Neodiprion lecontei: one gene and its partners. The protein of the gene in region 1 binds, or shares a complex with, the protein of each later gene. Links are inferred from orthologs where the notes say so. Each region holds a gene or a part of one and is shown in the gene's direction. Other genes may lie near its edges.

Evidence for each region.
Region 2: histone deacetylase 3 (region 1) and corepressor interacting with RBPJ 1 share a complex: the UniProt entries of both Homo sapiens proteins name them as parts of the notch corepressor complex. The link is inferred for Neodiprion lecontei from reciprocal best matches to the Homo sapiens genes HDAC3 and CIRSR.
Region 3: histone deacetylase 3 (region 1) and G protein pathway suppressor 2 share a complex: the UniProt entries of both Homo sapiens proteins name them as parts of the N-Cor repressor complex. The link is inferred for Neodiprion lecontei from reciprocal best matches to the Homo sapiens genes HDAC3 and GPS2.

Annotation. Positions count from the first base shown.
Region 1 is NC_060262.1:24,830,047-24,837,384, forward strand, and holds histone deacetylase 3, read left to right. Parts: upstream 1-2,133; 5' UTR 2,134-2,422; coding exon 2,423-3,724; 3' UTR 3,725-6,368; downstream 6,369-7,338. Other genes in the region: uncharacterized protein LOC107217481, read right to left, coding at 7,217-7,306. UniProt on the Homo sapiens protein: Histone deacetylase that catalyzes the deacetylation of lysine residues on the N-terminal part of the core histones (H2A, H2B, H3 and H4), and some other non-histone substrates.
Region 2 is NC_060264.1:2,183,055-2,188,399, forward strand, and holds corepressor interacting with RBPJ 1, read left to right. Parts: upstream 1-2,178; 5' UTR 2,179-2,352; coding exon 2,353-2,424; intron 2,425-2,535; coding exon 2,536-2,630; intron 2,631-2,712; coding exon 2,713-2,963; intron 2,964-3,055; coding exon 3,056-3,188; intron 3,189-3,434; coding exon 3,435-3,566; intron 3,567-3,654; coding exon 3,655-4,069; 3' UTR 4,070-4,493; downstream 4,494-5,345. Other genes in the region: sesquipedalian-1, read right to left, coding at 1,022-1,378, 1,452-1,745. UniProt on the Homo sapiens protein: May modulate splice site selection during alternative splicing of pre-mRNAs. Regulates transcription and acts as corepressor for RBPJ. Recruits RBPJ to the Sin3-histone deacetylase complex (HDAC). Required for RBPJ-mediated repression of transcription.
Region 3 is NC_060264.1:3,719,374-3,725,494, reverse strand, and holds G protein pathway suppressor 2, read left to right. Parts: upstream 1-2,085; 5' UTR 2,086-2,250; intron 2,251-2,673; exon of another isoform or gene 2,674-2,839; 5' UTR 2,840-2,932; coding exon 2,933-3,029; intron 3,030-3,140; coding exon 3,141-3,357; intron 3,358-3,638; coding exon 3,639-3,807; intron 3,808-3,889; coding exon 3,890-4,004; intron 4,005-4,138; coding exon 4,139-4,192; intron 4,193-4,303; coding exon 4,304-4,462; intron 4,463-4,586; coding exon 4,587-4,711; intron 4,712-4,807; coding exon 4,808-4,975; 3' UTR 4,976-5,072; downstream 5,073-6,121. Other genes in the region: uncharacterized protein LOC107220910, read left to right, coding at 1-75, 152-239, 335-565, 680-793; probable ATP-dependent RNA helicase spindle-E, read right to left, coding at 6,069-6,121. UniProt on the Homo sapiens protein: Key regulator of inflammation, lipid metabolism and mitochondrion homeostasis that acts by inhibiting the activity of the ubiquitin-conjugating enzyme UBE2N/Ubc13, thereby inhibiting 'Lys-63'-linked ubiquitination.

The DNA of each region.
Region 1 (7,338 bases):
ATAAACCCCGCGACGGATCCCAAAACGTCCACCTACCTACCCGGTTACCTATATTCGACCTAAACGATTCTCCATTCTCTCCAACACACATCATTCTTCATCATTTGCGTCGTGGTCACTGACTTACATTTTCGTTGGCTACCTGTTGGGAGCAAAATGTTTTTGTATCGTAGTCTGCCTACTCAGAATACAGTATCGCGGTTATCTTCCGCCAACCCTAATATTGCATTTATTATTTTAGTAAATGTTGGCAGACTATCGATACATCAACCTTTTGTAAAATTGATTAATACATCCTGTATGCCAATTAGCATTTTTCTTAGCGAGCTAAGCCTGGAGTTGCTCAATACATGTTGGATGTTAAAAGATTGAAAATGATACATAATGTAAAATGCAATTTGATTACGTTACGTTATGCCAGACTTTGGAGTTTTATCGATTCAACAATAATGTAAATAATTGAATACATTCAAACCTCAGGTGAACCCACCACTTAAACGGCTTCATCGGTAAATTCAAAAGTAGATTATTACACCAGTTACAAAACACAATTCGATCTCGCGAGTGCCGAGTAAGCGATGGTTACCTGTCGCGATGCTCATTCCACTATTAGCAGCGTGTAAAACGTCTAACATTAAGTAAGCTATGGTAAATTGCATTGCGAAAAAAAAATTATTCGACTGAAAGTTAAGCACGTTGCGTTCGTGAATGAGCCTAACCATGCAGCTAAGAAATCGAAGATTTGTGTAACAATTGTTACCGCCACGCCACGTGACAGAGGAATCCCAGGGAAATACCCATAACCTAACACATGCAAACTCACCAACGTTGCCGAGAAATAGGGAAGTTACTCGGAAGTCTCTGCTTAAATCTGTAAAAAACATAACAAGACACGTGAATTAGTTTAGCAAATTGGCTTTTCAGTTTTCAAATGAATTATTACTGTTGGCTAGTTTCGTATTTGTGCATTGCATGTTATGCAAGAACAAAATTTCGGCTTTAAATGACCACCGTGAATTATCAATCAATAATTAAAGTATTGTTACCTCGACTCTGGGTTGCTCCACACTTTTACACGTAGTAGTTCTTGTAGCATCTCAGGTTTATAGGTCAAGCGACGCACTGTTCACACAATTCAGATCTTCACTAATTTCTTATAATCCATAAATCCGCACCGCAATAACATTCGATTTGACACTCACTTTTTGTGCTGTAGCTGTCTGAACCGACTGAATAAAGCTGCTAATAAAAAACAATAAAATTAACTATCGACGCACAGACACAAAAATAGACATCACTGAAATCTGAAGTTACACAAAGCACTGAAAACTCGGGACACGAAATTCACCTTCAACGTTCGCAGGAATTTTTTTATTTCAGTAACTCGGTATTTTTTCAGGCTACACGCGGCTTCTCGTGTATTATTTACAGATGAGTGAAAATGTACTAATCGAAAATGCACTGATCGAACGTCGTGACACAAACTGAAGAACGCGGCTGGGCCTGAACGTTGAACCGGTACCGAGAACACGAGAACGCGTCACTTCGCTCCAATTGCTCGGCAACGACTGAAGCCGCGCGGCGCTCACAAGGGAGTAAAATCAGTTGTCTGAAGGACGGAAGATAATAACCCCCCCTGACGTTTTTCTCAGGAGTGGGGGTAGCTGCACGCGACATGAGGGCGGGAGAATTATTATCTTCCGTCCTTTAGAGAACCGATTCGAATCCGTTCACGGGACGCTTATGCGGTTGCTAGAGCATTACCGTAACATGCGACGTCAGGCGAAGTATGAATTCCGCGACCAATTACGGATATTTTTTGAATGGGATTTTCGCAACTGTTCAATTTAACTGTGACGACGTTATGTTACCAATATTTTGCACGCGATAGTTGTTGGTTGTGAAGAACTTCTTTTAGTGGCGTGGTCAGCCCGTCAAACTGTTACGCGAAATAACCCAGATTTATTAATCTCTATATATCCTCAGTCAACGCTTGACTAACACCCGTATTCATAGTCCTTCTATGACTATGAATACGGGTATAACACTGAACCATCACTGACCAGTGAATTCCGATGTGATCGCTAGGGGCCGTGTTGGTATTAGGTTGGCAAACCTCGCCAGGGTTCCGGCAGTACGGCAATTTTGAGAGGCGAAGGTAAAGTGAATCAACAATCCTGCAGTGTAACTGAGACACAAGACTGCAGACAGTACTTGCAGGGCAACAATTTAGATACTGAGTGGTATGACGATTGGAATAACAAAGTGTTGTTATGTATGTACGTAGCCGGTATACTTTGCAATTGGAAGTAAAAAATTCATCATCGATGATGATTTTCACGTGTAATGTCAGTACATAAATCGTAAACTACAAGAAAAGTTGTGTGTTTTATAAATTTCCAGTCAGTCTTAACCTCAAAAAATGAGTACTAACAAAAAAGTGTCATACTTCTACAATCCCGACGTGGGTAACTTTCACTACGGACCTGGACATCCGATGAAACCACATAGACTCTCAGTTATTCACAGTTTAGTGCTCAATTACGGGCTGCATAAAAAAATGCAAATATATAGACCGTATCGTGCCAGTACCCATGACATGTGTCGGTTCCACTCGGATGAGTACGTTGAATTCTTGCAACGAGTTACCCCCCAAAATCTTCAAGGATTCACAAAATATTTGAGCCATTTCAACGTAGGCGACGACTGTCCCGTCTTCGAGGGATTATTCGACTTCTGTTCCATGTACACTGGCGCGTCACTGGAGGGAGCTATAAAGTTGAACAACAATTGTTGCGATATAGCAATCAATTGGTCAGGGGGTCTACATCATGCTAAGAAATTTGAGGCATCGGGGTTCTGTTACATCAATGACATCGTCATAGCAATTTTGGAGCTGCTCAAATATCACGCGCGGGTTTTATACATTGATATAGACGTGCACCACGGAGATGGAGTCCAAGAAGCATTTTATCTGACGGACAGAGTGATGACGGTATCATTTCACAAATATGGCAATTACTTTTTTCCTGGCACGGGAGATATGTATGAAATTGGAGCAGAGAGTGGCAGGTATTACTCAGTAAATGTGCCCTTAAAGGAAGGTATCGACGACACAAGTTATGTACAAGTCTTTAAACCGGTCATCTCCAATGTCATGGAGTTCTTTCAACCGACTGCGATAGTACTACAATGTGGAGCGGATTCTTTGGCTAATGACCGGCTTGGATGCTTCAGTTTGAGCACCAAGGGCCATGGAGAATGTGTCAAGTTTGTTAGGGATTTGAATGTGCCTCTTTTAACGGTCGGTGGAGGCGGATATACTCTGAGAAACGTTGCACGATGCTGGACTTATGAAACGTCTTTGTTGGTTGACGAGCAGATAAGCAACGAGCTGCCGTATACAGAATATTTGGAATACTTTGCACCTGACTTCACACTGCATCCAGAAGTTGTTACCAGACAAGATAACGCTAATAGCAAACAGTATTTGGAGGCAATAACAAGACATGTTTATGATAATCTTAAAATGGTACAGCATTCGCCTAGTGTTCAGATGCAAGATGTTCCTTGCGATGCTCTCCCTCCGGAGGAAGAGAGACAACCCGAACCTGATCCAGATTCAAGGCAAAATCAGCAAGATACAGATAAACAAGTTGAACCTGCAAATGAATATTACAGCGGTGATAAGGACCAGGACAAATCTGACACAACGGAAATATGATTAAAGCTTATTCATAGAAATTGTAAATAGTAGGAGATTGTAAGACTAAAATAAGTATACATAAGTATTGAGTATAAGTTAATAGTTCATGTATATGTATAATTGAATGACATTATGCGATAATGAAACAAGTTGACATGCCCTGCTTTTGATTTTGTTGTTTCAAACGAATGTTGCAAATTGCATTACTAGAAAAAAGTTCATCTTCTACATTATAAGGGTGAACTTGGAATACTTATTTCAAAAAACTTCTTTCTCTGAGCTTGAGGAAAATGGTACAATTTAAAATCCACAATGTGTTTCTTGAAAATGTATATTGTTCGAGTTACCTCATTATTGCGTGCTGCCATTCAACTGATTACCTACGTATGTATTTAATTTAAATTTTTACTATTAATTGTTTTTTTTTCTCACCATCTTGGTTTTTGGCATTTTTCGCATGAGTTAAAATTTATGATGCCGAGTAAAAATGCTACAAATAATATAGAGCTAACAAAATTCCACATTTTCTTGTTTCTATACTTTTAATTACCTATTAATCAACTAGACAGTCGAATCTGAGGCACTTATTCGACAACTTTGATTTTATAATAAGTATTTCATTTATCATGCATTTTTGTACTGCCAAAATATTCACATAGGGATCAAAATATGTGTACCCCTACTATTGCTTAGGAATATCTAGTAGTAGTGTTTTGAGACTCATATAACATTTCTACTCGCATTTTTTAATTCATAATAATTAATTGCAGAGCTATAAGCATTTATAAAGTTCTACAAGTGTATTGATATAGTATGATTGCTTCTTTGCATCAAACAATTTCAATAGCCAGAATCATAATGTACAAAAGTTTATAGAAAATGAATCATTCAGCCTGCACACAGAATAAAAAGTGCAATAGTTTCTGACTTTGGTGTTTTTCAGTCCTCTGGTATCTTTTCTCAAACAGTCACTGTGTATTATACAATGGTTTCACATTTTATAACTATATAAAATTGTAACTAAGCAAATGAATTTTTGATGGCAAATTTGAAGCAAAACGATTCTAATTTAGATGAAAGAACAATGTTTTTCAGGCTAATAATTTACATTTTCTGAAATAAAAGCCCAGTGTCTTCCTGTCATCAAATACGAGAAATAAACATTTGTATTCTTTTACTTACTGTACTTAAATTATACCCTACCATTCACTTGTGCTTTATATTACGCACAGCAGTGCACAATGAATCAAGAGACAATATGTGAGAGTGAACGATAATTCGGTGAACCAAATTAATGAAAACTTATGAAGTTTCAAGTAGCTTATTTCAAAATAGTGAAAGCTCAAATATATGGGCACATACCAAATCCTTTTCCTGCTAATCATGAAGTTGCAAGAGATCATACATTTTAATCTGAAAATATCTTTACCGAGCTTGTAGATTACTATTTTTTTTTAAGTAATCATTTTGCAGCACGTGGGATAATTATTTCTGCACATTCAATGCATTCACGTACGGAAGTCAGAGACAATTATCTGTAAAATATTTACCTGTTTATATTTGCTATTTCAATTACTATTAATAAATAAAAACAGTTCTGATCCTCGTCAAGTAATTTTATTATCTATGTTTATTATCGTATTGTCAATATAATTCTCTCTGTTCAGGGGCTATGTTGCTATATCACAGAGAACTTAAAAATTACTAATCGAGTTATTTCTGTAGTTCTATGAAATAGAAGTGAGCTTGCTATTTAGACACGCACAACTTGACATGGTCAAACTTTGTGAATTACAATAAATTAGATATATTAACTTAGAATAATTGATTCATGTACAATGAACTTTACACAAAGTGACAGGTGAGGCTTACGTGGTAAATATCGTCTGAAAATAATTAATGATATATTATACTTATCGCTCTAAATTAACAATAGAAGATACAAAAATACTCAACGTGACAAGGAACACAAGATATACATACGCAAACTTGCACATAAGCACTTGAGGTTATTTGTTTAAATTATACTTCTCAACTTCACTTTTTTTTTACAGTATTTTTATATGTTTGAGATAGTTCTTAAAATCTGCATTTAATTTTATATTATAATAATTATATAAAACTGGATAAAAAGCGACATTGAGTGGATGTATGTGTATTGTATATATATATATTTTTTTTTCTTTACACGTAACAATCATAGTAATCGTCAGTATGAGGATCTATTATAATATAGTTATGTTATTTAGTTTATTTATATCGTTATGTTCTCAGTCTCATGTAAAAGCAATCCCTTTGGTGGGAAAGGGCTCCCTTAAATTATGTTTGCTTTTCTTCAATAATCGTCCTCCTAGTGCAATACATTACTTTGACAGTATCATTCAGATCAGCTTAAAGCAAAATCTAAAAATTATATGAACTGGTCGATAGGATAGGATAACGCAAGTATTCCGGCGACAGATTATAGACAACTTAGTTTTAGTGTTTTACTTGTATGAAGAAAATATGATTACTCTAATTAATCACTGCTCGATTCAATTCAATTTTGTAAACTGGTTAGATAGTTGTTCAATTCCTTTATGGATAGGTAATGTTTTTATTTCTTCAATATATTCGTAATGCATCTATCACGATCAAGATGATAAAATCTTTAATCTAGTCGGTTGTAATCGAAAAAAGAATGTGAGATTGTACAATGACAAAAGTAGCTAATTTACATCCGGAAATATAAATATTTAAGAAGAAGCATACTTAACTCGTAAATTATATGTATCTATATACTGTATAAAGGTCGTGGAATTAAAAACGTGACCACGCTCTATCGTAACATGTGCATGATTATATTTCTCTTACCTTTGAAATTAAAGGTTGACAGATTATATAACTGAACCCTATATACTTAGAGAAAGTATCACACAGGTGAAACCTAGTTTATGTCTATGTACACATAATGAATAATTATAAAAATTAAAGGCATTTTTACCAGAACGGCAGGAAGTTTTACCTAGGAGCGTAAGAAAAGAGCGCCAGCCTTGAATGCCAGCCTCTAGGTTGCATAGTTGAGTAAAAATAAAAAAATTCAAGTAAATAATCTTAAAAAAGCCATCGAGAATTCTGCACTTTGGAACAAGCTCTTCATTAGAAAAATCACAATGCTAAAATGTGAAACATACATTAACATAAATGTCGAATACTTTCAGTTAAAATTCATCAAATTTAGAATTTGATAAATATCATGAAATGAACAAAGGAACTATCTGGAGACGATTTAATTCCACAGCACTCTTTTCTGTGATTCACACTCTCAGGTTTGGTTGACTAGATGCTTGCATATAGCCTGCCGGTAGTCACTGCCTTGTGTTACTATTGGTCATATCATTTTTTCCCAAACCTTTGCGTTCCATGTGTTGACTGAACAAAGGTTGTATATGCTGCACATGCAGCTAAATAGGCATTGGCTGAGATAAACTGGGTATTTGCTTTTACTTCTTCAATTTTCTGATGCACTTTTCACGTTTCAAAGTGTTTGTAGATACTAGTCACGTACGACATCACCTGTTGCCAATCCGGTCGCTCCAGTTGACACATGTCTCCGATGTTCTAATGGAAAAAGTAATTTCTTCATATATACA
Region 2 (5,345 bases), on another chromosome or scaffold:
GGATATGTATAAAATACTGATTAAAAGGCGACTTGAAGCGTTTATTTCTACCACTGAAATATGTCAATGGGGTTTGTCTTTGTGACTACCCAATAACGACAGATTAAGACCCAGATAAATTTGCGATATACATATAGCATGAACAATTGGACACTTATATAATATACGTATAAGGATTTGATTCTATACAAGTACTTTGTACAGAATTCTATTTCGTACAGCTTTTTAATAACACTACGTAGACTAGCGTCTCACATTTACCTAAATATCATCAATGTCATATTCCAATCATATTTTTATTAAATACATGGTGATGTGAAATTTTATGACCATGTGACTCAACCACCATAAAACTTTTTTCAACACTATTTTTTTCTGTGAGGTTAATCAATCATGTATTTTTTACACACAATGTTTAATGTACTGCAATATTTTACCACAGCTGGCTGTTGACTTATTTATTAGATTATTAATATAATGTTGACTAATAAAATACTTATTTAGGTATTTACACAAGAAAATGAATTACCCATTATTTCTCTAATCCTGTTGTATCATTGCCGTCACTACAAATATATGTATTATATTTATAGCGATCTACGCACTGATCTGTAATTTGTCTCAAGTAATATTTAAGTAGCATTTCGCTTTTGGATCACGAGAATGAGGACGAATGCATTCTATGATCAGTACAATTCGAATCTCGCGTTTGAAAATTATAAATATGGTGATAAAATTCATCAGTGATGATACATATGAACTGCATCAAAACCGATTCTCGTATTAAATTCGGGAAAAAGCATTTTTAAAGAGATACGATTAGAAATACTTGAACAATGAGTCAAATGCGATGTACACTATAAATTTCCATCGGACATTGATAAATGGAAGAATCTCATCCATCAAATCAAATTGTAGAATTGCATTAGAAACATCGAGAATCGAAAGAGCATAGAAGTAAATTTCTGGTTATTATCTAACAATTATTTGCAACTATATTTACCCGCAATAAGTCTTTCTATTACAGTGCTATAAGTGGAGCTTCGACGCTCCGTTTAGAGTGTCTCCATTCATTAAGATCGGCCAATATCCTCCTCCCGTAAGCGGTATGGAGCTCTCTAAAAGTAATTCTCGTTCTTGGAATATTCTCGGTTCTTCCTGGAGCAGATCTGACACTTTGAGATCGATGATGAGTATCAGGTTTGTTAAATGGATTGTGGCGTTGTCTAGGTGGCGCCTTGGGAGATTCAACAGGTGGAGAAGTAGGTGTGACTTCTTCCTCCGCAGCGTCCAGCTGCCGTTGTAGTTCGGCAACCATTAATTTCATGTAATCATAACTAGCGCATGCCAATGCCTTCATCCACTGCTCCATTGAATCCTACGAATTTATAAAAAAACAAAATAAGGCTTCCGGCCAATTGAAAGTTGGAGACAAGGAGAAAAATACTCACTTGCGACTCGGCTCCCAAGGCGTAGCTTCTGTTGTTGGGACCGTGGAAAACGATTTTGAAACCAAACTGCTCCTCGTCTTCAGCGAGCTCGATGGTGCACCCTTCGAGGACGATCATCCCGACAGGTTCCTTGTCGCCTCGCCGATCGAAATAGAACAAAATGTTGCCCTTGAGGACAAACCACCGCCTCTGGTATCCTCCTTTGACTTCGCCGCGTTTGTTGAGCCATCCCTCGCGGTCTACAGGAGTTGCTGACGTCGCGAAAGCGACCATATTTTTCTCGTTTATTTTCATCGCGTCGAAATGGTGTATTATTGGCTCTCTACGTCTTTCGCCTCAAATATTTGTTAGGTTATGTTGACCTGTCAGGTGCGTACGGACACGGCCATATTGGATCTGACGTCGACTATCGCTCATTTTTTCCTCGTACTCATGTGACGCATGTCGTTGACAGCTACGCTCATGTTAGGTTTTAAAAGCGCTGTAACAGTTGGAAAAATATTGAAGTTCTTGACAAAAATTATTTGAGTTGCTAAATTCGATAATATTTTAACGCGAAATAATTCGGAGTGAAATTGTTCATAAATTTTTTATAAAAAAAATATTAAACTGTGCTGTGTAATTTAATTCTAAAATGAGTCCGGTAAACGACCACAGTTTTTAGTTTCAAAAAATGCCGACTCTTCGACGTGGCAGCAGTACTTTCAGTTTGCTTTTTCACAACTCTTCACCACTCTTCATCGTGTCTGATGATTGTGGTGTCACCTGAATTAACCTCGTCATTTTTATTTGTCAAAGAAGTATTGACCGTGGTATTGAGTGTTGTGTATTTAATTTTCTGTCAGCTGCGCCATTTTTTTCTAAAACACGTTGATTATTGTTTACAACATAATCACCAGTCATGGGAAAAGGATTCAATAATTACATGTGCAAGAAATTCTTTCACCCAGCATCTAGGGATAATTTAAAGCGAGTACGTATACGACACATACGATATAATACGAGAAATTCTATGATTCACTCGCGAACCCGTCAACGTTAGATGATCAACGATCTAAAATCGATATTAACGAATGATTAACAGGTATGGATGGCCGAGCAACAGGCTGAGGCGTATAAGAAGAAACAAGAGGAATTACGTGTACAGTACGAGAAGGAACAGGATCTTCACAACAACAAGTTAATATCCGCATTGATTACATACATTCAAGGCAATATCGAAAGCGTGGTCGATAATAAAGTGCAATTTAATTATTTCCAGAGCTCTGCTGAGCAAGGAGAGTAAAGACAAATTGAGCGTAAATTTTATGTACGAACCTCCGCCAGGGGCAAAAAAAGAAAGAGAAAAGGAAGACAACGAGCCTGAGTATAAATTTGAGTGGCAACGAAAGTATAACGCGCCGAGAGAAAGCTACTGTAAAGGAGACAGTGAGATTAGAGATCAACCTTTTGGTATACAGGTTCGGAACGTTCGTTGTATAAAATGCCACAAGTGGGGTCACATCAACACAGGTAAATTTAATTCTTTCTGTTTATGAAAATAAGAAAATTAGCATTTTCTAGTCACACATCTTGATTTTTTTTCTCTATTCTCTCCCTCGCAGACAAAGAATGCCCGCTGTATAGCCAAGCGATGAGCGTAGTAATGGCCAATACCCAAACTCAACCAGCATCACCAGCTCCCGATGCTCTGACTCTGGTCCAGCAAATGAGGGATGATGGATTGGCACTGAAAAAGTAAATTTCAGCACAATTTTTAGTCAACTCGAGTCATATCTTGTAATAATTTACTCTTTTTGAGTCTGGAACGTACTCTCTCTACAGCTATCATATCTTCCTGATATGACTGTGGCTTATATTTTCATTACGACTGTATTACTATAATCCATCAGGGTGAAAATAAAGATATTATGAGGCACGACTATAGTATATACTACACAGTAGGGACGAATTGAATCTGGTGATACTGATTTTTTTGTTTAGATCGGCTCTGGATGCTCAACAACACCTCAGGGTACCGGAACACCAAGATCTGATGGTTTCTGAAGATGAAGAGCAGTCTGAGGTTAATTTTTTGAGATCTCTTTCGAAAAAAGAGAAAAAAAAGCTGCTCAAGTGAGTATTGAATAGGGGCGTGCGTTTGTGAGATTAATTAATCTGTAGAAACATTGTACAAAGTTTGAATTTTGTTTTTCTTCTATAGGAAATTGGAAAAACTTGAAAAGAAAAGCCGGAAAGAAAAGAAGAAAAAGGTGAAAAAACATGATGCTAAATCTAGCAGTAGCGATGATAGTAGTTCAGAAAGTACAGATGCACATAGCGATAGAAAGAAAAAGAATAAGAAGGCCCGGTCCGAAAAGGAACCAGCATTCCACTTGGACGGCAATTTCGAATACAAAGATACTGAAGGAAGAAGGTATGGTGATAAGAAAAAAAAGCATAGAAAAGATAATAAATGTAAAGCTGATACTGATAATAAAAATAGAGAAGAAAAAGAAAACTATAGGAATAAATCTAGCAAAGAACATCATAGTAATGGAAGAAAGAGGAGTTATAGTCAATCTAATGAAGAGCAACGTACGGAGCAACATAGAAGAGAGAAGAAAGGAAAATATTAATTAAAATTTAGATGTACGTACCTAAAATATGTAATTTAGTTGATTCCGCTCTTTCGATTCCTTGAGTTTGAGACGAGACTCACTCAGAGTATCTTTGTTAGCTGGTTAAAAACCAACACCCAAGCTTATGGGTGTTTTACTTATATAAATATGTAATGTAGGTAATAAGCAATTGTTACTTTCAATTCTTATTGCATAGTTGAAAAAATGGTCATTAAATTATGTGGAATTAGGAAATTATATCGTTAAGAATTAAAATTACCGTTATAAACATATTATGCATATGTCACATTCGGTTATTACATGCATACATACATACTTAGATGCTAGGTATAAGTAAAAATAAAATTGTACACAAGCGAAGGAAAACTGTTCTATACGATGTACAAAATTTGAAATAAAATTCAATTGATAACAGTGAGAATCTGTTGTGTAAAATTATTAACCATAATATCAATGGTGGACAAGTTTAGGTTAGTCTGTTTCGAAAGCAGACAAAGGATTCTTAGTCAATTTGGTGTGAAATATAAAGTACCTTAATTGGCAACAGTAATAATTATGATCGACGAAAATAAAAGTTAACAAAAAGAGACATTCCTGTAGATTTATTCAATTTACTTACAATATTAACGGAAGCGCTTCTATAAGAGGGCCTTAAACCTTTTCTAATAAATCAAATACGTCCTTCTCGCAAGGATAAAAATATATTACCTGTGCATTATTATTTATATGCGTGTATAATATTTTTATTTTTTTTTTATATTAGGTACTTTAAGGTTGTAACTCAATCCCAGTAATATTTATAATTTATATCATATTCATTCACCTGTAAGCCACAATTTAACTATTCGATATAAGTTTCATTTTATCCTATTCATTGTAGATGTAACATATTAAGGAAATTTCAAAGTGGAACAACAAATTCATGCTCTTCAATTCCGTCGCTCTTCATATACGTGAACTTAAAAAGCTAACAAGACTTAAATACGTCAAGTTTGACATTGAACAATATTATCATTTACATATCAATATTGAAGAAAAACATTTTATTCTTTTTAATTATATATCAGGAGGTTGGCATAACTTTTGTACATACAGAAGCGACGTGAAACCGACAGTTGGAATTGAACAATTGTAAATGAGCATGCGGCTTGTAAGTGAATAAATACGGTATTAGATTTTAAAAATATATACCTATAATAACGTAAGTCTATATTACAAACACCACACACTCAGGTATACAAGGCTACAAGCAAATGTGCGTTATTTACGAAAT
Region 3 (6,121 bases), on another chromosome or scaffold:
GTTACTCCACTACTACGAGATTAAGGACAATTTAACTAATCCCAGGGCCGTACTCCTCGCACTGTTCTTTCAAAAGTAACTTATCAATCGATGATAACATATGTTTGAATAAAGATAAATAAAATATTTAAACCTGATGTAAATTTTGCAGTTTTGAGTATGATCCAAAGGCGTTGGATTGCGAGGAAAAAAATCTACAACACTTTATTACCTTTGCAGATGAGGCAGAAATCCCTGCGGTGAGTTCAATTACTTTTCATCTCGGTACATCTCTCTAATTGAATTCAATAACGTTACAAGTTTCTATCAAAGACTTGACAATCTACATTCCCAGGATGGAGAATTACGCAATGAGGTTTGTGCTCTGCTGAAAGCAGCTGCTACTCATAGTACAGATGCACACAAGGTTGGAGGTGCCTTTGGCGAAGAGGATGCTCACTATCTTCTTGACTTGGATATGGCCATACTGGGTGCCGAACCTGAGAAGTATACAGAATATACAGAACGTGTACGCGGTGAATATGGGTTCCTTAGTGCACCGATGTATACCGCGTTAAGACTTAAGGTAATTTGTATACGTCCTTATGTTCCTACTTTGTACAGACATTTATAATTGATATGATCTTTTGTTCGCTTTGTTTTCTTTTTTTTTTGGGTTGATGGCATACGAATTTTACAGGTGTTGCAAAATTTTTTGCAAATTCCAAACATATTTGCTACCAAGGAGTTTCGCGAAAAGTTTGAGGAACAAGCACGTAAAAATATCCAAGCTGAAGTTGCGCTGTTGTCTTAGGAATTGAAGATTTGATGTCGTATGGGCATTTATACCTAAATGTTAACACCTTACATTTACGTTCGTTTATTCTTCTCCTTTTTCGCTTTTTTACTGTTGCTAACTAAACCGCTGTGATTGAAATGATCGAGATATTATGTAAAACAACAACGGATACATCACCTATAACTGATTGTGAATGTGAGAATATAAATATTCGTTATAATTCAACATGTATTATCATTAACATGACAAAAAATTCTGATTTACAAACATTGTTGACATAATGTGGTACAACTATAAAGAAAATTTCCAGCCACATTGACGGTCCCCATTGCTGTCTTTTTTTAAATAATATTTCAAAAATCAGAGTTGCATATTTTTCAGTGTGAATAATGGACAATATATCTGATTTTTTTTAATGATATTAAATTCAAAACACGAACAAGAATTGACGTCGATCTATTATAATTCATGAAGTATGTACACATGTCTTTAGCTTCGATATACTAGATGCGATATTGACAGACAACGGAGTGAAAATACTACGTGTAATAAGAAGAGTATCTTCATTTTAAAGATTTTTGCCAATGATGCGCACATGTAGTTTCTTGGTCGAATAACGAATCGAATAGGAATCAAAGACATTGATACGTGTTTCGTGAATTAGTTATTGTCTTGTATGTAATAAATCGATGATTTGTGACAAAATAAAAACGTATATGATGTTGTAGTTTGGGTATAATCGTTAATAGAGGACCCCATGAATCATGTTCTATCATCAATACATATTTTTTTATAAAAAGGCTTTCGACCACCAGCAGTTGTACTCTACTATGGTAAATATTGCTCTGCATTATCCATTGCTTTCGTGATGCTAAATACGACAGAATATTGTCGGTAACCGAAATGCATTTACCGTCCAGGAGCACCTGGAAAATTAGTTCCAAAGACTTATTTAGTATCATAGGGCGCTACTAAAACGGGGACATGAATAAAAAAAAAAAGTGTATTAATTCATTACAATATTTTTCATGAGCTGTCGAAATCTTCCCTCGCTGAGTGTAGTATGCTCCACCGTACCGTTTCCGAATAATTTCAATCCAAAGTTGAGGGTTTTACGGTACGAACAACGCGAGCAAGCGAGAGCGAAAACGTACCAGTAGCGTTTGGCTCATTGACAATACCTATAAGCATAGACCGCGTAGCCGGCCTGAGAAGTCGATAGCGGGATAGAAAGAGAAAGTTGCATGGTTCACCGCAGTCTTCGTCTGGTGGCACATGCGCGGGGCACGCGTAACTACGAATTTGCGCGTTCACCGCGTCCACTGAGTTTATTATTATATCCATGTTGCTACCAAATGTTATTTAATGTGATTTTGTGTATGAAAATAACTGAAAATACTAACCAAAATACCAGGAATATGCCTCATATGTAAAGCAAAACAAATTCCAAAATGCGAACGTAGTTTTCACATGTAAGTATTGTATTTGTAGTTTATAGCCTAAACTACAAATTTCATACTTATATACATTGATTCGTATTGTGATTGGAGGTTTCCCAAAAATGAATCAATAAAGCACAGACAGCATTTTACAATTTAACATTCAATTATTTGATTCTAATGTTTTATGCGTGGTTTTATGTATATACAATATAAGAACTTCCACTCCTCCGTTCATTTTCTATTTCATTCTTGCTGAAAAGAAACGCGGAACGCGCATGCGCCATTAGACAAGGATACAGGTGTTATATGCAGCTTTCTCTTTCTATTGCGCTACCGCATTTACCAACGTGCAACCTCCGTACTCCGATGGTCTATTATCCTTGCATGCCTCTGAGTAAGCAATAAGCTTACACAGGCCCGTATACGTGTGTCGGGCATATATGCAGGTACAAAAGTGGGCGAAACTATCATAGTACCAACCTATAGTCATTTGCGTTAACATCTGTTTGTAAAAAGTAAATAATATTAAAATGTAAAGAAAAATACACTATGAACTTCGTAACACGAAATGAAAATTACTGCACAAATCAATAACTAGTTATTGAAAACGCGTTTGTAGACTGGTGGTTACAGGACGGACAGCATAGTTTTGTAGGACTTACTAAACTATTTTCGTTTTGGAGTGAACAAATTTCATTGACACCCCATCAACATGCCAGCTGTAATAGTCGAGCCACCACAGCGCAGCGAACAGATGTGGCAGGCTTTAAAAACCCATATAACTAGAGAACGTCAAAGAAAGAAACAAGGTAACTCAAGTTTTAACTTTGTGACAATATCGCCCTACGGAAATGGAAATTTTTTTTAACATCAACAGCGTAACAAATCCTTTGCATACACGTGTTATATTTGATGTACAGAGCAAGAAGCAGATGCTGAAGAGGAACGTCAAAGGAAGGAAAGAGAGCGTCAACAAAAGCAGGATGTTATGACACTTGGAGAAACTCGCGTTCAGATATCACGTCTCGAAAGTGAACTGTCGCAACTCAAGGATGAGAAGCATCAGCTCTTTTTACAACTAAAGAAAGTTCTGAACGAAGATGATAATCGCAGACGTCAACTTATCAAAGAGACTAGGTGATAACTTATCAATACAATGAAGCAATTCCTTACAGTTAGCACTTCGGTAATACTGCCTTGTGCTCACAGATGACTAATATTGCTCGAGACGCTAATGAATTAGCGTAAAATTTGTGAATCTGATAGTGCTTATCAGACTCATAAATTTTCTGCAGAAGAACCAGGAACCTCAAAATCTTGGTCCTTACAGCAGCCTGAGCTGTTTTATAAATGAGATATGTCGCCTTTCATTGTTAGTAACGTTTCTTTGGTAATAATGAAAAAACTTACATTTTTAGCGTAACGTCGGAGGTGTTGTCGGCAGTGGGTGGCTACCCTGGCACCGGAGCCGGAGTGGTTCATCCTCAGTTGTTTTTACCACTGCAAACACGAAGTCCGCATTACAAAGTTCCAGCAACTGCACCAACGCACTCAATGCTGCCAAGTGTGCGTACAATTCACAGAATTGCATGTATCGTTTGGTTTATTTTTCTCAAAAATTATCATTACCTCAATTTCGATTTCATCTTATTCTTGTGTCTGTTTTCAGGGACCCTTGAAGCGAACGCATAGTCCTTCACCGCCTCTCACTGCTTCCCCGTATCACTCCGGATACGGATATAAACCTCCACCTTCCATTCCCAGCTATAATCCACCGCCAGCAAGTAGGTATTTTTGTTTCTTGTCGAATGAAGAAGTCTTATTCGATATGTTTTAAACAGACTATTCTTAGTCAATTCAATTTTTCTGCAGAAAAGAATGTCCTCTTGTTGCTGGTATCAAATGGTATATTTTTTAGAATCTGAAGATGCGGCGAGGAGATCTAGCGATGTCAGAGCTGTGCTTTGGAACAGTGAGTATTTAAACTTCTGATGAGCTTGGTAAAATCGAAACCTAATACTTCGTACGAGTCTGCTCATTTGAATGCAAAACGTAGTACTAACCATTTGATCTTTCTTCACAGAGGGAAACCAGTATTCAACGTCAAATTTCTACTCAGCGCCACAGGGTCAGAATGTCTACAACTACACAGCACCTAGTTCTCAGTCTTCTAGAGAACCTGAACCTGGGAAACTGAACTATTTGGCTGGTAGTCGAGGCACAATGTCATCTCATCAACCTGGTAAGGCATGCAGAGGAGTATTCAAATTAACCAAGCTAAGATTAATAACATATTCATAAACAAACCCTGATGTTGTATTCACTCATGAAGAATTCGACCAAATTCGAAAAAAAATTTTCACTAGCTTACGTTGCAAGTATGCATTCTTTGGAGCACAAAGGAGCTTATTCGGAGGACAAATTCTACCTCCGGCCAGGTAGCCACGTCACTGTTCACGGAGGAGCTATTCCCATACAACAGCCACCGCAGGTATCGGTTTCGCAAGTTGAAAACCTAAACATACAAGTCTTATTCGTTGTGAAAGTTTTATTCCTTCATACTACTTCTTTCATCACTATTTCACAGGGTGCTAAAACCGGTGGTATTACATCAGGGTATCCAGTCAGGGCACCACAGCCTCCTCCTGGTGCGTATCCACCTCCACCTGGTACTTATGTCAGTGCGTCTGCTGCAAATGTCGGTGGTCGTCTATTGTATACTCAACCTACACGGTATATGCAACGAGAAGTTTAATGAGTTGAATGATAATGATAAACATGACAATATTATTATATCACATAAACGATATACGAACCAAAATACAAGTAAAATAAAACAGTTTATTGACAAACGGTACATAACACTTTCTATATACCGACACTTATATTGTTAGATATCCAATTCATTGCTAGTATTTTTGATGCAATAGTTGATGAAAAATGAGCGAAATAAAGAGAATTTGATAGAGTAGTTAAAAATACACTATTTTGATAGGAGATTCTGCATACTTGTTCGAAGACCTTAACTTCGAATTTCTGAATATCTTTCTATTATTGCTATAGGCGCTCGAAAATCTGGTACTTATTTAACAATGTGTAACAAATTTTAATCAGTAATTATATTTTATCTGAGCTAATATACATATGTCATATAATGATACAGTGATATTTTCACGTATGTATGCGAAATTACATTAATAGATGTATTTAGATGGTGAATTGCATACAGATTCCGTTGATTCTTTACTTCGGGTTGCTGCACTTATTTACCCGAAACTTGTCACGTTGTTTCTTCTTTTTTTTTTTAAATGAAAATAATGAACGTTATCCGTTTGTAAACAAGTCAAAACTTGTTTAGTAAATAATACCTACTTAGACCTTATTATGAAACTTGATATAAAATAGTATTACAGTTTTTTACGTTTACGAAAAAACTTGATTTATTATCACACAGGATTACGCCTAGAATCGCTGTTTTAATTGAGAAGTTAAGTATATTGCATGACGTAATTTTTTAAATAATAATTATTCTCAATTTTGTCACAATCAAACGTAAAATCTTTCACATAGTAAAACTCAGTACTATTATTTATAATAATAATTATTACACTTCTTTTTCATGGTTAATCAGTAGATACAAACTTATGTGCAATGTATCCGGCACAGCGAGGTAACTCAAATACCATTGTTTTGATTTCGAACGAGTATTAAAAAAATTAAATGCATATTCTCTTTGTTACATTAATGTCAATGTACGAACACGTCAGTTTATAATAATATTTTCAGTGGATAATTTGAATACGAATACGTTGATACATGTTTTTACTTGTGTGTAGATTTAAATGTAGTTAAAGATTAGCTTCTAGCCGCTTACTTTTATGCCCCGGTGTGCTTAAGTGAA